2 linked regions of the Neodiprion lecontei genome follow. The protein of the gene in region 1 interacts with the protein of each later gene in a pairwise test. Links are inferred from orthologs where the notes say so. Each region holds a gene or a part of one and is shown on either strand. Other genes may lie near its edges. The genes, in order: protein giant-like and REPTOR-binding partner.

What was found.
Region 2: the proteins of protein giant-like (region 1) and REPTOR-binding partner interact in a two-hybrid assay, tested with the Drosophila melanogaster proteins (2 studies listed by BioGRID, with this or other methods). The link is inferred for Neodiprion lecontei from reciprocal best matches to the Drosophila melanogaster genes gt and REPTOR-BP.

Annotation. Positions count from the first base shown.
Region 1 is NC_060263.1:21,610,790-21,622,870, reverse strand, and holds protein giant-like, read left to right. Parts: upstream 1-5,834; coding exon 5,835-6,827; 3' UTR 6,828-7,500; downstream 7,501-12,081. Other genes in the region: zinc finger protein 511, read right to left, coding at 8,140-8,589, 8,685-8,886, 9,017-9,156. UniProt on the Drosophila melanogaster protein: Represses the expression of both the krueppel and knirps segmentation gap genes. Binds, in vitro, to the krueppel regulatory elements CD1 and CD2. It is required in the early embryo for the development of portions of the head and abdomen.
Region 2 is NC_060260.1:12,366,222-12,379,017, forward strand, and holds the start of REPTOR-binding partner, read left to right. Parts: upstream 1-6,905; 5' UTR 6,906-7,060; coding exon 7,061-7,099; intron 7,100-7,200; exon of another isoform or gene 7,201-7,507; intron 7,508-7,825; exon of another isoform or gene 7,826-7,974; intron 7,975-10,436; exon of another isoform or gene 10,437-10,590; intron 10,591-12,796. UniProt on the Drosophila melanogaster protein: Transcriptional regulator that acts in the TORC1 signaling pathway to regulate energy homeostasis and promote survival during nutrient deprivation.

The sequences.
Region 1 (12,081 bases):
ATTTTTTTAAAGTGTAAATTTGTATTACTCATGATTTTTAAAAACCAACCCGTGCTATGCCGTAATTTAAAAAACTGAAAGGATCTTCAAAAATCTTGTGTTGGATATAAAAATTTCTGCAGTGAGAACTTATTCGCCGCACACTGCTGGTTTCTACGTTGAAGTAGACTGCAAAGTTCGGTATGAGTGTAACATTTTCGAGGAAACGAAGATCCGCACAAAAAGGAGACTGAGGACAGGGAATCTATTTTTGACAATCGCCGGCCCATTGTGGGTCTGGGCTTAAAACTTTTGAAACGTCGAAATCTAGGGAAAGCGCAACTTTTCATTTCCGGGGTGATTATAATAAGTACCCTTGTCTTTTTTTTTTCTTCGAAAAAACAGCAGGAATATAGAAATGTGTAGGGTGGCAGTCCTGGTAGGTTCGGAATAAGAATACAAACTAAACTCAAAACTGCGTATAATCAGTGAGCTAAAATTTAAATTTAACCACACGAAATTATCACTCATCGACTCTCGAACAAGCCATTTTACACAATTCTCTAAGCACTGCTGTGTATTTTAGCGAACGTTCATTAAAATTTGTAACAAAAAATGCCAGAATATTGAATCGTAAGAATAACACTTTACCGAAACACCCTCAATATCGTCTTGCATGATTAATCGATCTTTTTCTGTATCCGCAAAGTTTATTTCACTATGAGGAGCTATTTATGAAGTCGATTACATTTAAATATACATACGTAAAAACAAACTCTGTACTTGGCGTGACATAACTTTATATGGTATGATGAGTTACGCTAAGCGTGGCCAATTATTGTTACTAACGAGCAATGGAAATCCCACGTAATTAGGTAGTTGGTTGCGCATATCGTTCGTCATCCTCACTCTCCTTCTTTGTGGAAACAAAACTGCAGCATTACGACTATTCTTTAACCTAAGAACCGATCGATTTCGATCATAACAGAGCAATAAATAAGGATTGATGCCGTTGGAGGGTTCGACGAAAGTCAAAATTTGTGGACGCTGCAGTAGCATGTAGACGCACGAGTTGTCGATATATATGTGTGAGTGTGTCTGTGTGCGTGTGTGTGTGTGTGTGAGGATTCGAACCTCGCATATGGGTTACAGAGAATATGTCGAAACCATTAATATCCGGTGACAGCATAGCGGGATTCCTAATTTCACAAAGAGATTTCGAAAATTTCTCTTACTCCAGAGAGTTTAACCCCTTCGACTAAATTTATGACGCTTTACGCAAATTCGGTTAGTCGTGCGCCGAAGAACTCCATAATACCTGAAATACTGTAACCATAAATCTGGGAGACAAAGTATTGAAATATTACAGAAGTAGCCAAAGGGTTTGCGCCGTAAGAGCTTCGGCACTGGGTTTCTTGTGGCCGCTGCTGTTGCAGGAGTTTGTACTTACTGAATTTCCGATCACCTACAACTAAACTTAACCCTCGGTAAGATATTAACAAAATTTTCAACTTAACCCGTATACTTGGTAGACTTTCATGCCTGAAACTTTCTCGTTTCACAGGCAGAATTAACCTTCGTATAACTAACTGGATTTTCAAAAATCGTGCATGGCTTTACACCGTGGGACGTCTCCTTAGGATTACCCGGAGTCCTGCCGTTACATTTGCGTGTACCGTTTTAAATCTAATTCGCTTATGTCAGCAAGAGTTGCACGGCACGAATCCGCTGGTGCTTAAATTCTAAAAACATCCCCATTCTTAGACATTCCAAGTTCGAGTACTTTGCGCCATTATTTGTGAAAATAAAGATAATCCAATGTTTAGTTTAGCCTATTTTCATGCCTACGCACAGCAGAAATTGTCCCCACAGCGTTGATACTGAACGCAGCTAACTCTGGTATGTACTTGAGGTTTCGATCGATCAAGCTTCATCGAAAAGTATTCCGATAATAGGTATATAGGTCTGTTCAATATTCAAACATAATATCGCAATTTAATTAGGTTCTGTTCATCCGTCATGAGAACTAGTATTATCGAGATCCAACAATGACCGCAATTCAAATATTATGATCAAGTTTAATCGATAGACGATCTTCCACTTTGAGATTATTCATCACGATAATCACTTTTGCTAAAAGTAATACAAATTTGATACGCCTTGATGAATCACGGTAAAATCATACTGCAAGTAAACATCGTCTCATTTGCGAATTCCTCCGCTGGTTGTAGAACGGGATGAATACAAAATTCACATATCGATGCAATATATCGAACATACGTTTTAATATTTCCTTGGCGAGCCTAAGTTCACCAAAATATGAAAAAATTATAGCGTATTGCAAAGAAAACAAATGGTAAATCCGGTTGACATTGATGAGACAGCCTGTAAAAACTTTCCGCTTGAATGCGTTTCCGGTAAAATCTGGTTTTTTTTCTATTGACGTTTAAATAACTCGAAAGCTACTAATTCGATCGGTTCCGAATTTTCATCAGTTCCAAATTGAAAAAAGCCCCGTCGATTGAGATCAACATCGTAAAAATTCATTCATCGATTTTGCAATATCGGTGGATACAAAATTGATCACACGCACACACAGCTCGTACCTAGACCTCTGAGCGAGCGTCCGTTCAGCGGAGGTGTTTTTCTAAACCTTAAAACGACGAGATCTAGTGAAAACTCAACTTTTCAGTTTCGGGGTCATGGTGATAACTTGGCGGAAAAAGGGGGAGCGGAATGTTTACAAGTAAACAGGTCTTGTACCTCAATTAACGATGCTCATCGTTTACTTGTACGTCAAGTTAACTATGTTAAACTCTGTTGAACTCGTAAATCTGTTTTTAACGTAATTCATTTCGTGGATAATATGTCATAAGTATCTGATCGGAGAAAGTAGATTGTTCACGTATTACTCAAATGGAAAATATTCGAACGCATTGCGGCACCTGTTAATCGTGATACGAGGAGTTAGACTTGATCTAGGTTAATTGTTTTATGCAGAGCAAAACCATCTGGGAGCTCAAAAATAAAAAAACAACACACTTTGTGCAGCTTTTCTTGTTTGTACATAAAAAGTTTCAAAAATGTTGGTGAACTTGATTCTATGTGTGAAATGTGACCTTCAACATTTACCAGGACGTTAGATACAAACCACCTTATTTCGAATTTTGGCGAAAGCCGACGTAACGAGGCTACGCGTACGCGTGCCGAGGGTCAGCCTCCCACCACCTCCACCTGAGACCCCAATTCGACGGTCACTCGAAAGTTCCCCCACTCCTGGGCCTGTCCACCCTCTCCAGCAGACCCTGCAAGGGTGGTTGCGACGTATAAAAGCGAAAGTACACCCTTTGGAGTCACAACTGATTTCCTTGGTCGTCGAATGACCATCGAAAATTTTCATCGCTTCCTGCGAAATCTTCGCGTCCTCGGTTATTCGGATATTTCTCGTGTTGGACAAACATACTTGGTGATCAGTGTTGTGATACGTATCAGTGATAACTGTGCAACCTTGGATTTCTCTTGTTAGGTAAGAATGAGTATAAGGAATTCAGTGCATCGGTTATTGATAAATAAAATTAATAATAGATACGATAAAGGATACGATATTTTGTTTTTTTTTTCTCTCTACTCGCGCGTATTAACTGCAGCGTGCAAATTTTTCCAAACACGAAATCCCGCGAGTTGTGTTCCGTCGAGATAAAGTGTTTGATAAATTATTCAAATTGGCTTTAGATTGGATTGATTGAGTCATAGTGATAATTATGCCAACTCTATCTGCGCCAAGTACTGCGTTGCCGGATGATTGAGCTATTCAGGATCTGCATTTCGTAGGTCGTATCACACTATTTCGAACCGCGCTTTAGGAGAATTGATTCTTCGATGACTGACAGTTGATTTGAATTCACGTTTCACTAAATGTCATCAACTTTCGTAACTGAACATACGGCCGACAGTATGGACCATAAAAATTCTCTGTTATTATTAATTTAAAGTTTGAATAGCAAGGTGAAGAGTTAGGCGTTTGATGTTGAACGTGGTGAAATAGTGAAAGCAATTTTCCAAATAGCCACGGTAAAACACGGTTCAAATAGTGATTCGAAGAAGAAAAATCGAAATAATTAGCCCAATTGACTCTTGATAACTGAGATTTTCGGCTTTCAAATTTGTCCGGAGCGATCGAAATTATATTATCTTACTTGTACGGAAGACAGATTTAAAGTGTGTTTTTACTGAGATTGCAGTTAAGAATTGTATTTTTTTTTTAATTCAACAACATCAAGGCAATGTTATTCTCAAGTTCAGATCGACGACAAAAAATGTGTTCTAAAAGAAAGTCATTAAAAATATAAATATTTTCTTCAACGTGAGATCTACTAAACTAGTTACATCGTTTTCTGCACGTAATATAATTAACATTTCTGCGCTACTTCCGTCAACAACTTTACTTTGTAGTTTTTCTCATCACTAGTGCTTAAACGTCACATTTTTGTTTTCAAAAGTCTACTTTAAAGCACTAGTGCTAATAAAAACTACAAAGTAGTCAAGTTGTTGGAGGTGGCGCAGAAGGGCTTGTTACATTGCACTGTAGTTTTTACGAGCACTAGGGCTTAGGAGTTGACTTTTTTGTTTTTGAAAGTCGACTTTTAAGCATTAATGCTAATCAAACCTATACGATATTTTCGTTTTCGACAAGAGGTAGAACAGCAAATACGATTTGTGGCTTGTTCGCATATAGGGCGTTAAAGGGCATATACCTTAGGGTGGGCCAAAAAAATCGACTATTTTTTTTTTCACTTTGTACTCCGAAAACTTGGTTGGTAGAGACCTCAAAAACATTCTCTCCAAGTATGAGCTCTTAATTTAAATAGGAAGGTCCTCCGCCTCGCAGTTTTCTATTTTGTTCTTATGGCGAGGAAGAAAAATACATATCTCGGTATCTACTATTTATAAAAAAAAAATGTATATCATATTTTCGTAGGAAATTGAATTCTCTACAAAAAAGGTCTCTTACAATTTTTTTGTATACCTCACTGTTCAGAAGATATTCACCGTCAAACTTCAATGCACACTATTTTTAACAGTGCCGTTAGTTGCACAAGCCAAACAGACGAAGCGATAGGATTTAAAACAAAAATCCTCTCGAGCAAAACATTTTATGTATAATTTTTGAAAAAAGTTTTAAAATGTTCTCTAAAAAAACGCCATAAAAATAATTAGGAGCATGATTGGGATTTCAAAATATTGAACAAAAAAATTTGTAAAAATACTAAAAAAATGGTAAATTACGAGAAGTTTTTGAAACAGAGAACTTCTATAATAGTTACTTCGACGACAGAAACTGAAATTTGTACAAATTTTCCCAAAACTCACGAATTAAATTGAAATTGTTTGAATTATTAACAAAAAACTGTTAAAAATAGTGTGCATTGAAATTTGACGGTGAATATCTTCTGAACAGTAAGGTATACAAAAAAAATTGTAAGAGACCTTTTTTGTAGAGAATTCAATTTCCTACGAAAATGTGATACTCATTTTTTTTTTATAAATAGTAGATACTGAAATATGTATTTTTCTTCCTCACCATGAGAAAAAAATAGAAAACTGCGAGACGGAGAACCTTCCTATTAAAATTAAGAGCTCATACTTGGAGAGAATGTTTTTGAGGTCTCTAACAACCAAGTTTTCGGAGTACAAAGTGAAAAAAAAAAATAGTCGATTTTTTTGGCCCACCCTAATATACCTACTCACCTTCTATTCGTGCGACACTTTAGACTCGCCAAAAAATTGCTATTTCACGCGCTCTTGCGACGAAAATTATTATTTCCTCATCACTTCCAGGCATAACGGGCGTATCAATGGACACAACGATCCCCCTCGATGTGGAAAGTATTCAGCCGCTGGATTACACAGCAACGCAGAGCACGAACGAACCGAAAACAGAATCGGACTCAGCCTACGAAGTACCGGTGTTGGACTTATCCTGTAGACGTGACTCATCTCAGAAGTCACTCTCACACTCGTTACAAAATACGGTGCACGAGTCAGAGGAGGAAAAGTGCAGTTCTAAAATTTACGTAGACGATGAAAGGAAAAGCCCGTCGGAGGGTCGCTCGTACATGGTGACACCTCCGTCGGAGGGCGACTCGCCGACAAAAGCTCGGTATGAACCGATATATAACCAGATAAACTCAACTACGAGCGATTTGCCGATGCCGATATACCCGGTCCTCGGTCTAAACGCAGCAGTGACTCTCGCGAGCACGCAAAGTGCCCTGCAAACCAATTTGCACAATGCGATAAGCCAGGGTTATCACATTTCGAGACGTCGGTCAATGAGCGCCGCTGAATTGAAGCACTTGGATAACCAGATGTACGGTTTGTCCGTAACGCACGCCGCGCCGGTCACGCCGGCTCAGAGTCCGCAGGAATTAGGTAAGAAACTAGCGAGACCATTCAAAGCGTATCCGAAGGATCCGCTAACTCTGAACGCCAGAAAGGCAGAGCTGGCCGTCGATCCGACAGCGAACGAGGCGTATAGCGAGTTCAGGAAGCGGATGCTGGAATCCGTTAAAAAGACGAACGAGGGGACGAACATTAAAATGAGGAGGACAACCAAAAGCCCGGGTCTACCCACCAGCACCATGGATGACAAGGACGCTGCATACTGGGAAAGAAGAAGGAAGAATAACGAAGCTGCGAAGAGGTCCAGAGACGCTAGGAGAGCGAAGGAGGATGAAATCGCCATCCGCGCTGCCTTTCTGGAGCAGGAAAACATTAAACTTAAGGTCGAATTGGTCGCGCTTAGGAATGAAACTGCGAAACTCAGGTGCATGGTATACTCGAGTTAAAAAATATCCGACCGATATTTTTTATCCAAGATTTATGTAGGAGATCTGCATTTGAGAAGGCAATGCTGGCATGCCTGACGTCTGGCAGGATTCATTTGATAATTAGTAAAATTGGTTTCTATCGCTTTTGTTCACCCATGTTTTCACCTCTGCTCTAAAGTAAAGAAAGTTGAGCTACAGACTTTTGAACCTTAACGACGCTCTGAAATAATCTCTTTGGAACCATAGAAATAATGTAGATACGATATGTTCACCACATTTTTTGCAAACGAATGTAATAAATTTTTTCCTCTCGCTATTACATTTCTGACAATTCGTCATCAATTTGCATTTAAAGTACCATATTTATAGAATACTCTTACCGAACTCCGAGCACAGTTTTCATAACTATAGCTCTCTGTGGCAACTTCCGTTTTGAGTGCACTTGAAGACGATGAACATTACACAAATCCTGAACTTTACCTAGTTATACTACAAGAATCATAAATTGTTGTAAGAGAAGCATATTATTCACAAGTTACTGCAGACACTGTGGTCTTTTCAAATTACTCGCTTCAGAGATTTACAGACAGTCCTGACTAGTAATAAAATTTTCAGTACCACATGTTAGAGTAACTTATAAAGTAATGCGTCTTGTGTTCGATGTAATCAATAAATACAATGGAAATTGGCTTAACATGTACACGATATCGAAATATTTTTATTCAACACTGTGTATCCATTTGTTCACAAAATGCTTCACCTCACAATTTATTGTCAAATTTGATTGTAGGAATTGACACTTCAAGTATAAATGTATGTTAATAAATTCTTAAAAGCGATAAAATCGTAAGAATTAAAAAATAATCGCCTCTACATAATAATTGACAGATGACACACAAGTTCGTCACTGGCATAGTCAGTATATTGTTAAGTATAAATTTAAGAATCGATACAGTGTAAATATAAATTATAGAATTGGCCTAAAAGAATGAAGTGAGTCATATTGCTGTGCAAGAGTTCAAAAATTCTCTGTTATAAAGATAAATACAGTTGCCATATATAATATGCTATATTTATAATAAAGATACAAACATTTTTTGTCAACTAGAACAGATATACAATTTATTCGGTCATTTTCCTTCAATAAAATTTCCATTACGTATTTAATCGTATGATAACGATAAAAACGAATGACAAGTTTTGCTGATTCATAGACTATAGTTGAAACCGATAGTTCATTTTACGAAAAATATATCAATAGGTAAGAATTCTTTACAATTCTCTGTCCGCACCACCTTGAAGAGTAAAAATAAAGTTTTGGAGATTTTAATCATTGTGGTAGAGTATCAGCCAATTCCATCATGCATCCGTTATTTAATACATCCCTGTGTGAATTACTCTGCTTTGAAAGCACTTTTGAATAGGACGACACCTGCCTAGGAACAAAGGATAAAGAGGATGCCTTATTTGGTGACGCAACATTTACCATGGAACTTAAAGTCCCTATTATGGGAACATTTTTAGACGATATTTCTTTATCACTGGGACGAAATGTTCTACACTTTTGATTCTTATTTAAACGAGGAATGTTTTTCTGCAACTTGGTGGATCGCGGTTCTTTATCAACTTCCATTTGATCCTCAGAATCCCCTCTGCCCTTCCGCCAATTTCCTTCGTCAAAACGAAAGTGTTTGGGATATTTGTGCACTGTTGTACAGTGTTCTCGTCTATCCGCCAGAGTTTTGAACTTCATTTCGCACTCGGATACGTAACATTGATACTGAAATAATAATTATGTACTTACAACTCTCAAAATGCATCATAATAATCATCTCACTATCAAATTTAAGGGGCACTTAGTTACAGGTAGCCTACCATCGGTTGCCGATCAGCCAAAACTCTGAAAAAACTGTCATGTGTTTCTTCTATGTGTATATCCAAAAGCCTGGCACTCGGTCTACACTTTTTGCACTCCAAGCAAATGTATCTATGCGATGCGTTATAATGCACCTCGAAATCAACAAGCGTCTGGAACGTAGCTGTGCACCCAGGTACATTGCACGTGAATTCTTTTACACTGAAATTAAATCTGTATCATCGAATGAACCAAGGGGTGAACAAAGGTGAAAAATCATAGATGTAAGGAATCTACCAAACCATATTACAATAACAAATAATAAGTCATCGTTATAAAATTTTAAACTTACGCTTCGTGGCACAATTCCTCGTCGTCGATAATTGTAACACCTTTTCTAACGAAAATTTTACACGTTTTATAAGTGTTTTCGAAGAACTTATCATGAGGTGCTCTCTGCCCGATTCCAATTTGCGTCAAAAAAGTTTCCATGGTTAAATCAATCGACTTCCGTGGCGTTTGGATAGCTTAGATATAGTTACTTTGTACTTTGTAGACCGGCAAGTGCCAATAACAATAATAAAACCGTACATAACCTCACATTTGTTCACAATTATTTTAGATTATATGCCCTTGGATCCTTAGCTAATTGCTGCTGAACTATATAACCGTAACCTACGATGAATCGAATCAAGGTCAAAATATTAAATTCGTCAGTGGTAGCACTAGCCGGTATCCATTTCCTTCAGTCCCTTTAATCCTTAAAGCATATACTTTCTAAGGTAGCTTCGCGTGTACGCAAGCCTCGTGCAACCAAGTTCGTTACTACACGCCGGTAAAAGAAGTTCTTCATACCCAATAACTATCGCGTGCAAACGTTGGCAACATACCGTCGTCATTGTGAAATTGAAATGTTGAGAAAATCTCGCAAAAGAAATATAACATGTACGCCGAAATTATACAACGGGAAAATATATGTCAGTCAAATACATGAACGTGTGTCGTTTAAATTTATCTGAATAGATGGAATCTTTTTTAGGCGACATGCAGTAGCATCTCTAAGATGCTCAATTTATTTGATCAAAGTTTTTGACAAAGTCAACTTTAAATTAAGCTGCAAATATTTTTTTAAACTTTGAACTACTTCATTTTTAGTTGCAATCGTTTCAGGAATGTGCCTATGAAGATATTGTTTTTTTTATTTGTTGACCACTTTTAAAATTATGAATTGAAAAAATTCAATATCCTAAGTATTGAAAATATACGAAAAATTCTGAAATACTTTTCTCTTTGCTATATGCACGTTGAAGATATGTAGAAGGTCGATCCTATTTTCTCGGTTTTTTCCAAATTTTGGAAGCGGTAATTGGGTTTTAATTGCGAAAAATTACGCAAGTGCTTGAATAAATATAAAAATGAATAATGAAAATGAATCTATCATGAGGCTCGTTGCAAATTAACTGGAATGAAGAATAAAAGTCTTATAGATTTACTTTAAATTTTGATAAGCTGTTAACATTGTGTTGCAGCAATACAAAGTTTTGGAAATGTGACGTCAACTAGCTAAAAAATAATTATTTCACCTTATGCATAATATTGACGTACTTGTCGAAACATATTTTTCTTCTCGATTGTAAATGCTAAATATTGACTATTGTCAATTCATGGTTCTTCAAAGTGTTAAAGAATACGGGATAAATGTTGTTCTCACAATGCAAATTTTGAAATGTTCAGAATTACATAAACGACATTATTGAAAAATCAACGAATGTTTTTCGGTAACTGATTTTCAAGGGGAATTGTCTGTCAATTCATTAAATCATGTTTCCGACGCAACATTATCCGTAAAGTCAATTTTTATCCTTTCGTGAAAGATACTCATAGTGTTTAGAGAGATAGCGATAGATACTGGATCATTAACGTGAGATCCGCGAATTAATTAATCACTGCAAGAATGCGTTTTAAATCTATGAGGACGACTCGAAATAGCGATTGACATGAATCTGCAACAAGCGCGAGATAATAGTACATTCACTTTAACTATTAAATCGCTACTACTTTGCCGAAATACATAGTAATAATATGCTATTCCGCATCGAAGGAATTTGAAGGGAGTGTATTTACACCTTGCACTGTTGCACATTCATTTAATTTCAAGTAATCAGAATTGACTATGTTGTTATATGCCCGAAAGGTGGAGTTGAAACAGTAGAGGAGGCTGTTCAAAGAGATATGTGGTTTCTAGCTACCTGCAATAAAAGGAGTACCAAAAACGGTAATCGGATGTGGTATATCGAGAAGGTAACCCGGGAAATTTTTCGCACATATTTGTAATTGAACATTCAGATCACTTTTTCACAAATCATAATCATCCTTATTGTACGAAAAGGTCTTCTTTGGAATATTTAGCCTTAGTGTTCTTCAGTGTTACAAGTGTGCGTGATAGATTTTTATTATTGTCAAGTGAAAAGCGTGTGAAAAGATACAGATGTCAAGAAAAATTAAATAATTGATTGTAAAATCTTCCGAAAGCTTGGAACTTTCTGTGTCCAATCATTGATTGCTCATCTTTGAGAAAAATTATTAACGTTAGCTGTTAACACCAATATGTCGGAAAAGTGTTTTTGTTTGCAGAACTATGCGAAAAATCTGAGAAACATCAGAAACCTGCACTCTAAATATTACTCAAACCTCGACCAAACTAGTACAATTTAAAAAATATTTAAATCTCTGGACACTTAGCTTCCAGGAGTTCAGATGTGCAAATAGGTGATTTTGGGAACGGGTAAAGAAAGACAAAAAACTAAAGTCCAAAATTTGCAAAGAAATTGAACCTATTTAATTCAGTTAACAGCAAGTCGATCGAACAGTGTTTTCTTGAACGTTAAAAATAATTCATTGATATCAATTTAAACTAAATTTTCCCTTTGATACTAATTCATTTCCCGACCTTCCATTCGCTGCATAGAGAATTAGAGACTAAAAATATTTGCTCAACAAAGTAAGGCTAACCCCTTTGGACTTTTTATAGAAATTTTGACGATTTTGGATGATGCTGGAATCAATTCTTCGATCCACCATATCGACGTAATTTTGCGAGAGGAATTGATTCCGTGCAGTCCGAATTCGCAGCAAGCAACGGATCAAGAGTTGCAGCCGTAAAGTGAAATATTTCCCTCGTAATCGTAATCGTAAAATAAAATCTTTCCGGTAAAGAAATATATACAACAAAAATTGTTTTTTTTTCTGTAAAACTGTCTATGTGTCGCACCTAAATCGCAAGATTTATTTTGTCTCATGACACGGCTGAAGAAAATGTTACCAAACGCCCAGCTGTACCATTGAATGTAAAAGTTGAACCACTGTTTCAAAACATATTGATGCTGCACTATTCTAAATCCCAAAACTATAATTAGG
Region 2 (12,796 bases), on another chromosome or scaffold:
GTCATAAAACTTGGATCTGCGTGCGGGCGGTCGAGTTGTAAAAACTCGAGACGCGCGGCGGCGTCGGTTGTAAAGGCTAGAGTACAGTGTATTGAGAGAAAAAAACGAGAATACATTTAAGTACTTAGGAGTTCATAATTGCGGTGCAATAATTAAGGATTAGGAGAAATATGGATTTTTAAATGCATTTGGGATTTTTGGGATTTGTCACGTCCGGTTGTAATTTTCTGTTTAATTTTTGTGAGGCGAAGCCGCCACAACTGAATTTCAAACAATTCCAAGATCGCGAAATGACGGTTTTTACTCAGCACGAATCGTTACGATAACGTTACTAACTTCAATACGATGTTGAGCAACTGTGAGCTTGAAAGGCTGTGCGGTGTGGGAATATAGTTTTCAACTCCCGTATGCATGTACAATGTACATACATGACCGCTCGAAAGATTGAGATTATATTAAAATTTGAATCACTTGTGACGTATTCGTGTAAATATGACCAAACAATTGATCTCAAGGAAAAACGTAAAGTGTGGTGCTGTGGATAAAAAAGTGTTATATTTTGCTTATAATGCAACGAACGTATGCAGGAACATCAAGAACGACGACATGGAGAAGAAAGAAAAAATTGAAGTAGTCTTGCAATTCTGAGGATGAATCGAGCTGTGATGAAACTACAACAATTACGGCAGATCGCCAACGGATAACCTTCGCCTATGTATGATTTTTGGGAACTTCGATTGTTTTCTTTTATTTCTCCACCCGTTCTTGAATTCATTTTTATAGGGTTACAATATAAAAGGGACACTACTCGTCGCAGGTCTAACAAACTTAGCCTGATAGTTGAAAAAAAAATAACAAATAGCAAACAGATGTACAAATAAAAATATATAACGATGAGTAAGGAGAAAATAGTATGTAAAATAAAATTAAGACGAGGAAGGTTGTTTAAGTCAGATATAGAGATATATATAGAAGACGGTGACGATGTTGAAAATGGATAAAAAAAATTAAATTTGAAATTTCATCATATAGCAACGGCAGAAAACAGATATCCAGAATGTCGAAGGGTCATTATTCAGAATCGTACAATTCGTACAAAAATCAGTATCCCGAAAGCAAGGGACAACTTACCGCCAGCAAAAACAACTTGCCACCAGAATTTCACATTCTGAGTATCCAACTAATCTAATTTGACTTATAATATTTTTTATACATATACAGAATCGAGTAAATTCTTTACTCAATACTTAATAAAGAAGAAAGTACGCAATGCAAATGGACAACTTTGAGATATTAAAGCTGTTGGGTTAGACCTTTAGAGTGTGGCCAAAGATGTGTCTGTTTTTATTTGTTGACTTACAAACTGCTCACGTCGCCAGCAACAAGCTGATCAACTCACATTCAGATAAGAGTACGAGAATCTCGAATTTTGAGCAGGTGCATCGGGCGGATCTTTTTATCTGCAATATTTTTATCTTATTAAAAGATTCAATACGACTTATGGTATCATAAACTTATATTTCTTGGCTTCTAATATGATATGAGTTATTGACTCTTCTGATATATTGTGATTCTTCATTCTGACTCTTTTGATATACTGCAATTCTAGATCCTGAGCCCTCTATGAGATTACTGCTCGGAGTTTTAACCGTTCTCATTCTTGATCCTTCGCATTTATAAATTCGAATAGATGAAAATTCTACTTTACGATCCATCCAAAGGTTATTTGTTTGTGAATAGAAAGTTTTCGTCTCTTGAGCACCCGATGTAAGAATGTATGTTATTTATTTGTGAGTAAGAATTTCTTCTCTGCATGCACGATGTAAGGAGACTGTAGTGTGTAGATGTTTATGTTTACCCTTTTCGAATCCTTGCTTCCGATGAAAAGCCCGTAAGACCAGCAATGCCGTCTAATAAATGAGATGCGGATGTGCAAATCATTAATCTACGAGAGAATTTTGTCGAAAGAATGTAAATTTGAAAACTGGTGAATTCGAAAAATTAACGACGGAGCCAGTTATTTATTTGTGTTTGCGAGCGATCGCATTTGCCTCATTCTGCTAATGGCCTTTCGGAATTTTCACCAGTTGTGTATTCTAAATTCTACAACTTTAAATTTCGATACTTTTATATTCTATTTCCATTATTTCTGGCTTAATGAAGATTCACCACTTTGTTCTTTCGCGATTGTGAATTATCGATATATTTATGTCCGGAATTCTGATCATTCTGATTTTTGGTTTTACTGATTTTTTACCCGCACCGAGGCTTCCTGGTGGCGATGATTCACACGCGAGGTTCCCATCCTGAACCCACCAGGTTGACGTGACGTGGTTCGCTCTTCCTTATGATGGGCTTGTTGCACGCTGCAGTCCTTCGACCAAGTGAGGGCATCACTTGCGGTATCGTAGAATTTAAGAAGGAATAGCGGACCGTTGTAGCTGGTTCAGCTCCAGGCTGATAAGAGTCGTCGACGGGAGGCTTCGTTGTGGATTTGAAGCACAGTCCTGTACGCCATCGGCGACGCGTCCAGGCAGCAGTGGCGATATTCGATGGGTTGGCTCCTGGCCGAGAAGTCTGGATAATTGGAGGTCTTCGTTGTGCTTCACGCACGACCCGTACTCAATTTGAGTAGACCTCCATCTGGAGTCGAAATGGCGGTATTCTGCCCTCTGTAGCTGACTACATTGCTGTTGATCCGCTCCGTGACCTCTGCGTTGCGATATCAGGTTACCCCGAAGCGATGTCCTTCAAGTTTGTTCTCGTAGCGCGGTACAAAATTAGAAAATAGACAAAAATTAGCTCGGTAAATGAATCTTTTCTTTAGCTAGTCGTTCTATTTGGAGCATTGGCCTCACGATCAGACGTGTCTTCGTTGTTTATGATTCATTTATTTTGTGATGTAAGAAAATTTACATTACCCTTTATCAGATAAGCACATGAAATCGGACGAAGAAAAGATCATAGAACTCCCAAAAAGGAGACTGAATTTCAACTTATTCGTAAACAAATGAATGATATAAATTTACACGATCGTCAAAATAAAACGGTTTGTTTATTAGAAGTGAAATTTTTTGTGGATATGAAATATTATTTATTGAATTTTTAACAACATGAGAATAGACAAAGCCTTTTGTGTGGATATGAAGATTGCGCGAATCCATTCCAATAGCTTCCTGGAGCAAACTGGGCGAGAACAAAATAGAGGTAAATTTGTCCGCTGATAATAGAAGTTGACCAAAGTTTAAGAAATACAACACATTTGGGTAACGTTTATAAGCACGTGTTTTAGCGATTCTGTTATAAAAAGGTCGACAATAAAGATTGCGCAACTTTCAGGCGTCTATTAGTTCTCTCACGGCTTGATATTATTCAAAGAGGATCTAAAATTTGTTCCCATTACACTCTCAATCGGATATCTGAATTGAATGGCGATATCTTCGTCCTCCGATTCTGCGGGAATCTCGGTGAGCGGTTTTCGAAAACAGTTTGCCAACTCTTCGTCGCTGAGTGTTTTGTCATCGATAATTTTGATTTCCGTCATGTGTTCCAGCTGCATGAACACGGATTACTGGCTGTTAAGAAATTATCAACCATATCAGAAAATATCGAAATTATAGACATCCAACGATAGACATAAGTTTTCAAATTTACACGCACATTTTTCGCATTTCTTTATCAACCCAGTAATAGATACGTGGACGCCAGGAACGAGAGCTGGGTATATCGATGCGATTATTTGCCATTGTGCGCCGCTTATAAAACAGCAGGTTCTTTGTCCTATAGTTATCGTAATGAACAGCACGAGTATCCTAGTTGCAACAGCTAGATACATTTCTCAATTTTTCATCTTTATTATCTTTAAGTATTCAGTCTGCGTATTACTTTGGATGCTCTGATATGCTGTAGCGTATTTTATTTTGATTTTTTCTGGTATCTTCGGAAAAGGTCTATCCGCGTTATTGAAAAGTCCGTGGCAAATGATGTGCGTGTTGTCCTTTGAACAGACAAATCATAGTCATCGAAACCCTGCTCAATTTTGTTGAATCACTGATTGTTCGCAACCGCTTTGATGCTGACGAACGCGATTGTTTGATAGAAATGTTCAAAAACTGCGGTGAACCATGATACATTTTTTGGTTTATAAGTGATTATTTGTAATGGTTTTTACCTCGTTATATTTTACGAGGTGAGCAATCATAGAAATTTAGTCCGCCCATAGTAAGACTGCGTTGATGATTACAAATTTGAATAAACTGAAACTCCGTTTCCGGCAAACGTTTGTTTACTCGTGATTGAAATCACATATCCTACGATATGCGTGAAAAGTAAATATTTTCAATAAAACGGTCGAAAATGGCTTAAGGGATCGTCTCAGTGTGACACTCCGAAAAATCACTGATTTTCGCGAATTTTTTTTTTAATGTTCACATAAACTAATCGGTCCGGTTTTTTTTTCATAAATAAATACGTTTATGAAGAATACAAAATGATTTTTTTAAAGTTTATTTATTGAGTGCATCATTGTTGTATAAATTATTGTAATTTCACGTGAAAAAAAAAGGTGCTGCACGGTTTCCACGATGACGGCCGCAATTTTGATCTGAAAAAAAAATTTCAAAAAGATTATTGATCTGTAGGAAAGTCGCTATCGCGCTATGGAGGGTTTTTTTTTTTTTCAAATTTGACAAAATGGCGGCGGTTTGAACAAAAAGTGTCGAATGTGGCCCTTTTTTTCGACAGTTTTTCGTCAAAAAAATAGGAAGTTTTCAAAAAAAAAAAGCTTCCATAGCGCGATAAAGAATGACGTTTAAAATGTTCTCCCGAAATTGGAACTAGATATCTTTAAAACTCTTCCTTTGAGAGTGGAAACCGTTTTGAAAAACACCATTCTGAGAAAAACGCGTTTAAAGATTGAAGTTGGAAAAGTTTATATAAATCGTTTACTTACGATCAATCGGCGATGCCAGGTCTTGATTTTTTTCTTGGGGGTTTCTCTCGTACGTCTATCCGTGGTGGATGTCAAAAACGAACTGAAATGCTTGGACAGTTTATTCTGCAAGGTTATAGAACCTAAGCACCTTAGTACTCGCGCAGGTAGAAAACCCGTTCCCTTTCTACAAGAAACGCTGTAGCGACCGTAATAATTTGAATTTCGATTTAAAAATTTGAGAGAATGTTTAGAACAGTGTATACTATACGATAATGCAAAAAAAAAAAAACAATTTTTTGAAAATTTCACACTGAGACGATCCCTTAAAACTGGAAGAAGGTTTACGCAGTTTTTGGATAAAATATAAACTGTGTCCCGTTCTATCATATCTGATTCTTGAACACAGAATGCGAAGTCTCAGGTGACTAAAGTTATTCTATTTTGCTACAAAATTATCAGGTACCGCATTTTGCCCGGCGAACCCGTCTCGAGGAGCAAGAATTCTTGGCTTCCGCCATTAGATTTTTATCTTATCACAGTTTCGAAGTTATAGCGTATTCTCCTCATACTGAACAACCTCTTCTAGAATTGCGGATTGTGTCAGCGCTGGAACTTTGCGTGCCATTTCACCGTTCAGTTTATACTATTTTCTCAATCTCTACAGTTTTTTCCAACCCGTTCAGATTCGTCTTGCGATGAAAAGTTGCCGAATGAGGCGCGCGAGTGCGTTCTCTCCTAAAAGGTTAATGTGAAGATCGAATCTCCAAGTTCTTGAAATATATCGAGCACATTGTTGGCATTTTATACATTCACTGATTGGTCGGTGTGTGATATGTCAGTTTGACAGTTGGCTCAAAGAATATAACCGCATTTTTGAAATCGCCATGCAAATCATTGCGAACATTTCATTGATCAGCGAAAAATATCCACGAATCGCTTGAAATTTCATTCACTTGAGTGTCCCGAAATTCCGGGTTATCAGACGTTTTGTTCGTCGATAAATTGAGTATTGATGTCGAAAGTAATGTAAAATTTTGAGGATTCGTTTCCACATTGAAACGCAAAGCAAAAATAAGTTCACGTTAATCTCTGATCACTATTATACGTGTATGAATGTAACAGATGTGAATATAACCGTGTTTTGTCACCCTCGCGGAAAAAAAAACCCTCGACTTGGGTGTAAATTCGTACCCTCAACTTTTTTCTTACGGGGATTTAGCATTATCTATGAGTTTAGGGTACGAATTCATACCTAAGTTTAGGGGTTTTCCCGTGATGGCATCGTCGTTGCGCTGTACTGTCTGTGGTGTCAGTTTGATAGTTGACGCGTCGTTGTGCTTAAATGCATGTTGAAAGTAATGACAGGTCAATCATCATGCCTATAAAAAGTGAACGAAAGCTGACAAGCTGTATGACAGAATGGACGTGAACGCTGCACCTAATGTGTACTTGAATAATCGCAAATGCTTCGTAGATCTTTAGAATATAAAAGAACCTAGTACATTTCTTTGTTCGTGCTCGCAACAACTTTTCCGATTATAGTTTTCCGATTTAAGTTGCTTGTAGTCCACCATGGTAGCGCTAGCGGCTGGAGAGCTAACGACAAGATACCTGAAAGACCGAGGGCGGAATGTACGTTGCAAAAGAAACAGTTATGCCTAAAACGCGGTTGCGAAGCAGCTGTCGGTAATATCGACGGCGCGTCTACCGATCGACCGCAAGGCGGTCTCGCAACGATGTTTCTCACTGCTACAAGTCCGTTATTATGAGATCTAAATAGCAAACACTCTAGGGAATGGTGTCACCCTGCATCAAACGTGGGAAGAAAGTAAGAGAGACAAAGACGGATGGATATTTATCGACGCTTGATGACACGGGAGCCACGTGATCAATGCGCGTCATGGAATAAAGTAGTAAGCATTCTTGTCAACCGCCAGCAGCGCTGCATGACGTAACGTATTCGACTGAAAGACCGAGAACCAGCTGCATGACCTTGCGGTGTTTGTAAACATACACACGTTGTCTCTCCAGTGTCTGAAGGAACCAGAGCAATAGGCTGTTGACAAAAAGTGATAAAGTTTTATCTTGCGACAAATAACTAATACTTTTGGACCTGCGATTTGAAAAATGGAAGTTGAACGTATGTGCACCGTCGAAAACGAGTTGGTGAGTAGTTAGAGTTAAACATCGTGCTGACAGCAGGTCAGCATGTATTGCAAAAAGTTGCGAAAAATCAGCAGGAGAAAAAAAAAGACCACAAACCGGAACAAAAATAACTCCTAATTTAATCAATGACGACAGTTGTCCTTCGGTACAATTCGTTTCTTAAAAAACAGGTTAATCGAACTCGCGCAAACTTATTTTTCTGTATTTTCGTATCGAGCAAATCGGTGTAGACAAAGGGCGTGTGTCTGTCACTTCGTACGTCAGGTAAGGGGTGACGCGCGGCGGAGGGAAAATGCAGGGGGGTGATGTTTTTCGTCGGTTGGCTCCATAGATCCGTCTGGCTCCCTCCTCCCTCTCTCCCGCCCCTTCCTCCTTGCGCATTCTAGCACCTGTCGTCCACTTGCCAAACTATAAAATTTACATTTTTGCCGATAGTTGTCGCTGGCGGACCGCTTCGTTATTTCTGTATTCTGTATAAGTTAGTAACTTTGTCGTAGCGAAACGTGGAGAAAAAAATGACTGTTTTCTTGTTCTTTCTATGATTTTGAAAGAAATAGAATTGCAAGATACGAGTAGATTTCGTTTTATTACGGTTTACTGAATTTCAAACAGTTTGAAATTGCGAGGTATCGGTTTTTCCTCCGCACGAATCGTTACGGTACCGTTGCTAACTTCAACGTGATTTTAGGTGAGAGTGTCACGTGGTTTGGTATGCTCATTACTTACTCATCGGACGATGATGCTCGCGGCGCTTCATTCCTTTCCAAGTTATTATTTGTCAAGTTCGTGACAGATACAGGCGTAAAATACCGAATCGATAGCTATGAGCGTGTTGTACAGGAATTATATGTTATGACCGTCAGAATGCCGAACATTCTGACGATTCCTTCATTCGCACAACAACAGGTTTACTCTGATTGATGACAAATTACATTGTTTATGAGTTCCGTTAGATCTAACTTGCAATTAAATATTTCAGCTCCTCTTGAAACTCAGAGCTAAAGTAATAGACGAACGAGTGATTCGAGTGCACGGTATTGTATGAACTGAAAATATTAATTCAAACCATTTGAAACTAAATATTATTTCGTTCTACCCATAGACGCATGTTACTATTCTAATTATAGAACGAGAACAGATAAGACTCGGGTTTCTTTATCTGCGTATAACATTTTTGTAGAAAGGCGGTCAGCTTTAAAATAGTGTTGGAATAATGGGATCGTTGACTTCTGACATCAAGAAGTGTTGATAATTATTACATTCTATTTACCATCATATGATTTTTTATGTCGATAGGAATTTTGGGTTTATTTTCTCATTTCATAAAAAGGATTGAAACCCACATGTAGTTTTAGATTTTTCAAAATCTGAAGGTACAGTTTATAATGAAATCAGAACACGAATTTTCAGTATCGTACTCGATGAATGTGGCTATGAATAAAACTGCGTAAAATAGAATGAAACAATAATGGAGACGACTCAATATAGGCCTCGTAGAGATTGCCGATAGTCACTGATAATCTGCCGAACAGCTCGTGTCCGTACATTATGTATGTCATGCAGGTCTATCGATTTTGATGCATTCATCTTGCTCAAATGCATGCAACTGCAACGCAATTTTGTACGTGACGCGCGTAGCCAAAGAACAGGATACGACGCTATATGTCAGTGTGAATTGGGTACTATGGTGATACTTTTAAAAATAAATTTTATGGTAATTTAGAAGTTCGATTTCTCGAATTTTCAGTATTCAGTAACAGTACGTTAGCTTCATTGTGTCATGAATTATAGTCACGTTCGATGTGTATTGAAAGAGAAGGAAGTATAAAGTTAATAAATATGATTGCATCAAACTTGGCGAACTACTACAAATGAATATTTTTTTTATATCTAATCGTTTTTGAGTAAAAATGTGTTGGTAATAATGAATTTTGTCTGATAATAAACGTTTTCCAATCTCAAATGTTAGTCAATTTTTAAATTAAAAATATCCTTCGAAGAATTCTTTTTGAAATACGCCTCAACGCAGTCCAAATTATTGTTAATCTAATTAAAATGTTTCTATCTGTTATGAATTGTTAGCAAATTTACTGAATGCGATCAAATTTGAATTAATGCTCCGACATTAGAACAATTATCGGAATCTTTGTCTCATAAATGCGCAGTTCAATCACGAAAGTGTTGATGAGATTGATAAAAATTAATTATTTTCAAATAAATAGACAACCTTATTGATTGATTAGTTAAAAATCAGACTTGAAAATAATTCTTGGGTAATTTTTTTCAATTTAATATGAATGCGATTAATATTGTAACAACGGGGAAAATTAAGAAAGGACTAAGAGAATCAAAGAGTTCTCTGTGCGATTTAAGCGAACGCCGAGCCAAAGAGTTCTCTGTGCGATTTAAGCGAACGCCGAGCCAAAGAAGTCTCACGAACAAGGAATATTTTAGAAAGAAAATAGATGTATTTGGACACGAAGTTCTCTTTTTAAAGTCTAGAGATTGACTGCTTTTTACAATAATGTCGGTTGACGCAGCAACCTTATTCTTTTTAAAGACATAAGAGGTTTATAAACGTCTTTTATCTATGATGACTACTAGATCATTTAAAAGGGGACAAAACGGGTGATTTCACCCTTTTTAACAATATACTATTGACCAAAAAATTAGTGTCTACTACCTCGCTTTACTATTTTGATTTAACATCGTTGCGAAAAAACTATAAATCCTGAAAAATTTGTATTCCCCTAAATTAGCATAAAAGTAAATTTTAGCGGGTTTATTTGAAAACACCCAAAAAAGGTTCTTCACATAGTTTAACCCATTAATTCTTATACACCATAGTGTACAACCTCGATATTCGTTTTTTACGATTTTCTCGAAATTACACCGTCTATTAAATAACCGTCAAGCATATGAAATCGGGGGTAACATTTTTTAGAATTATTCTCGCTTTGCGAGGAAAACAAAAATTACGAAGAGAGAAAAGAAAAAACAAACTCAATATCAGAAACACGTTCAAAACATCTCAATATCGTCCAAACAGTGTTTCTTTACTCAAATAAAGACATTCTATGCTAATATTGTAACTTTAAAGTGAACGGGGCTAATCAAAGCGACAAGTTTTTCCAGAGCAGCCGTTGCCCGGCTGCCAAAATGCATCTGCGCTTGCACACGTAAAATACATTCGAAAAAGAATAGCAGGAATCGTTACAAGATAAAGCAGATTATCGAGCGCCGCGTCGGTTAGTTTCCCTGGATTCGGTAGAAAATTCGAACGCCGTTCGAATCGCTTCCCGCTTTCCTCGCGGGCGGCGTCGTGGCACGGCGGTTATTGCGTGAACACGCGTGTCTACACGCGCGCATTTCGACGTTAGAGCGCGCGACGGTCGCAACCGTTTCTGCCGGCTTCCGTCAACGGTGGTTCTCGCTCTAGCCTTTCGTTTCAACTGCGCAGTTGGCGAGCCTCGGTACGACGCGGAGCATTGGTAAGTCTTTTCTTTTTACCGCACAACTCGTAACTTAGAGCGGCGGCGTTCGTGATGCAGCAGGGGGTAACCCTGAGGGTGACGGGCGCCCCCGAGGGTGGCTTCGATTCTCAACCGAATCGTTACGCTCCTGCGATCGTGCAGCGCCCATCTCGAGGGCACCGGCCCCTTAACTGACGCTGTCAATAACCCTCGCCCTCCTCAGAGCTTTTCTTTTTGCTTTTTTCTTCTTTGCTTTTCTTTCACTTTGCGAGCGATAAATCCGCGGGCAATTGCCTCTCGACGTTTGCGAGTCTCTGACTCGGCCTAAAACTGGGTCGGAGACGAGTTTCATTTATGGTTTGTGTTATTCCTTAGCAGGCTAAATCCCCTGCTCTCTGCGTAGATCGTGAGACGCACTGGCTTGGACAAATCCGTTTACGGTATCTACGCGCTGCTTAAATCCGCCCCACCGCGACGTCCCTGACCTGATTTAAAATTTATTCTATAATCGCTCGTTCAACGCAGCACCGACAGCGGACGCGATAGATGTCGGTATGCAGTTTTTCGTTGCATAATAGGTTCATCCAGGTGGTAGAAAGAAGAGCGCACAACGATATTGAGTAAATAATAACACTTGTCGAGTACTCCATATAGGTAATAACAAAGTACTGAATTTCTTTCGTATTTCTCTAAACAAATTTTTATTGGAGTTATAACAAGAACGGTGATCGAATGGAATAAATTTTTTTTTTCATTTGAATGAATGTGGCTTCACTTGATGAACAGAACCCCTTTTTCCTGGATCAAATGACATTTTTTAGAATCAAGAAAAAAAAAAAAAGAAAATTCCCTTGCTATATTTGGTAAATTCAACAAATTCATTTTCCGTACGTTTATCTTAAATGCGTAATGACTTTAGTTATTTTACGAGTAAAATTTCCCCATAGTGTGGCCTCTTTTTGTACAACCACCTCAGCTTTAATTTGGGATGGTTACCAAAAGAAATTTGTCGGTCGGTTGACATTGATTTTCTTATCTCATCAACCGTTTTGATAACAACTGCGACATGTTTGTAGGTTTACAGTTTTCGTATTACGTCCAACGTGCAATAAGCATTCGGTTTCTCGAATCACAGCCCTCAGTTATTTTTTATTTACCGTTAACGTTTTTCAAACCATTGAATGTGAAAAAAACATTTTATACTTCACTTCCTACCGTTGCATACCAAAAAGCAAATCTTATTTTCACTACGGATAAAATTATACTTGTCGAGTATTGTATAATGATGTATAACATATTACAAGTACATGCACCGCTTATTTTACTATTCGTTATGTTTGTTGTTATCGTAGCCGGTCACGTTCCGTAACGTAGCTGAGCTATGTGCGGCACTTTACGTGTGTACAGCTTGAGTTAGGTGCTAGTATACCTACATTATCCATACATGTACGTGTATGGACAGCGTTGAAGTCAGTAACGTTAAGATAACGAAACATGAAGAAAAAATCATTGCCGTGTAATTTCTGAATGACCTTCAAGAAGTTAGCTTTCAAAATTATGAGTGTAATTTGTTTATAATGGCTTACCAAATTTCGGACGATCTCAAGGCGCGAAGTTACGATTTTTGCCAAACATGCATTGTTGGAGTAACGTGACTAACTTCGTCTTCACTATCAATGGTGAATAACCTACGCAAATACCGGATAAACGTGTGTCTGCTATGAGCCGGGTGTTCGTTAACATGATTATTATCATTTTTAATGCGTTATTCTTTCCAATTCTTTCTTTGTACAACTCCGTATTGATTTTTCGGTCTACTTATAGGAAGCCAGATTTTCTCTTGATGAGGTCAGTTTTGAATTTATAGAGTACGAACAGTAAAATTCGCAGGAAATAATTAAAAATCACAATCGGACGTTGACAAATGTACGGGATTTGTCAACCCTATTTTGAATTTATAACATGCAGTGCAATACAAATTGGTCTACCTACCTGATCGTGGTTGACTATGAATTTTGTTCTCAAACGAATTAATTATCGAAATTTCGTCCGCAGTGTATTTTTCAACATCAATGGCTCAATATTTTATTATTCGGTTGATGTAGTGAGATGCGGCACTTGGTAATTCGGAATCTCCGTCACACACGGCCAATGCGTTAATTTTTGGACGATATAAAAGTATGATTGTTCCCATAAGAATTGGACAATTTTATAAAACATATAC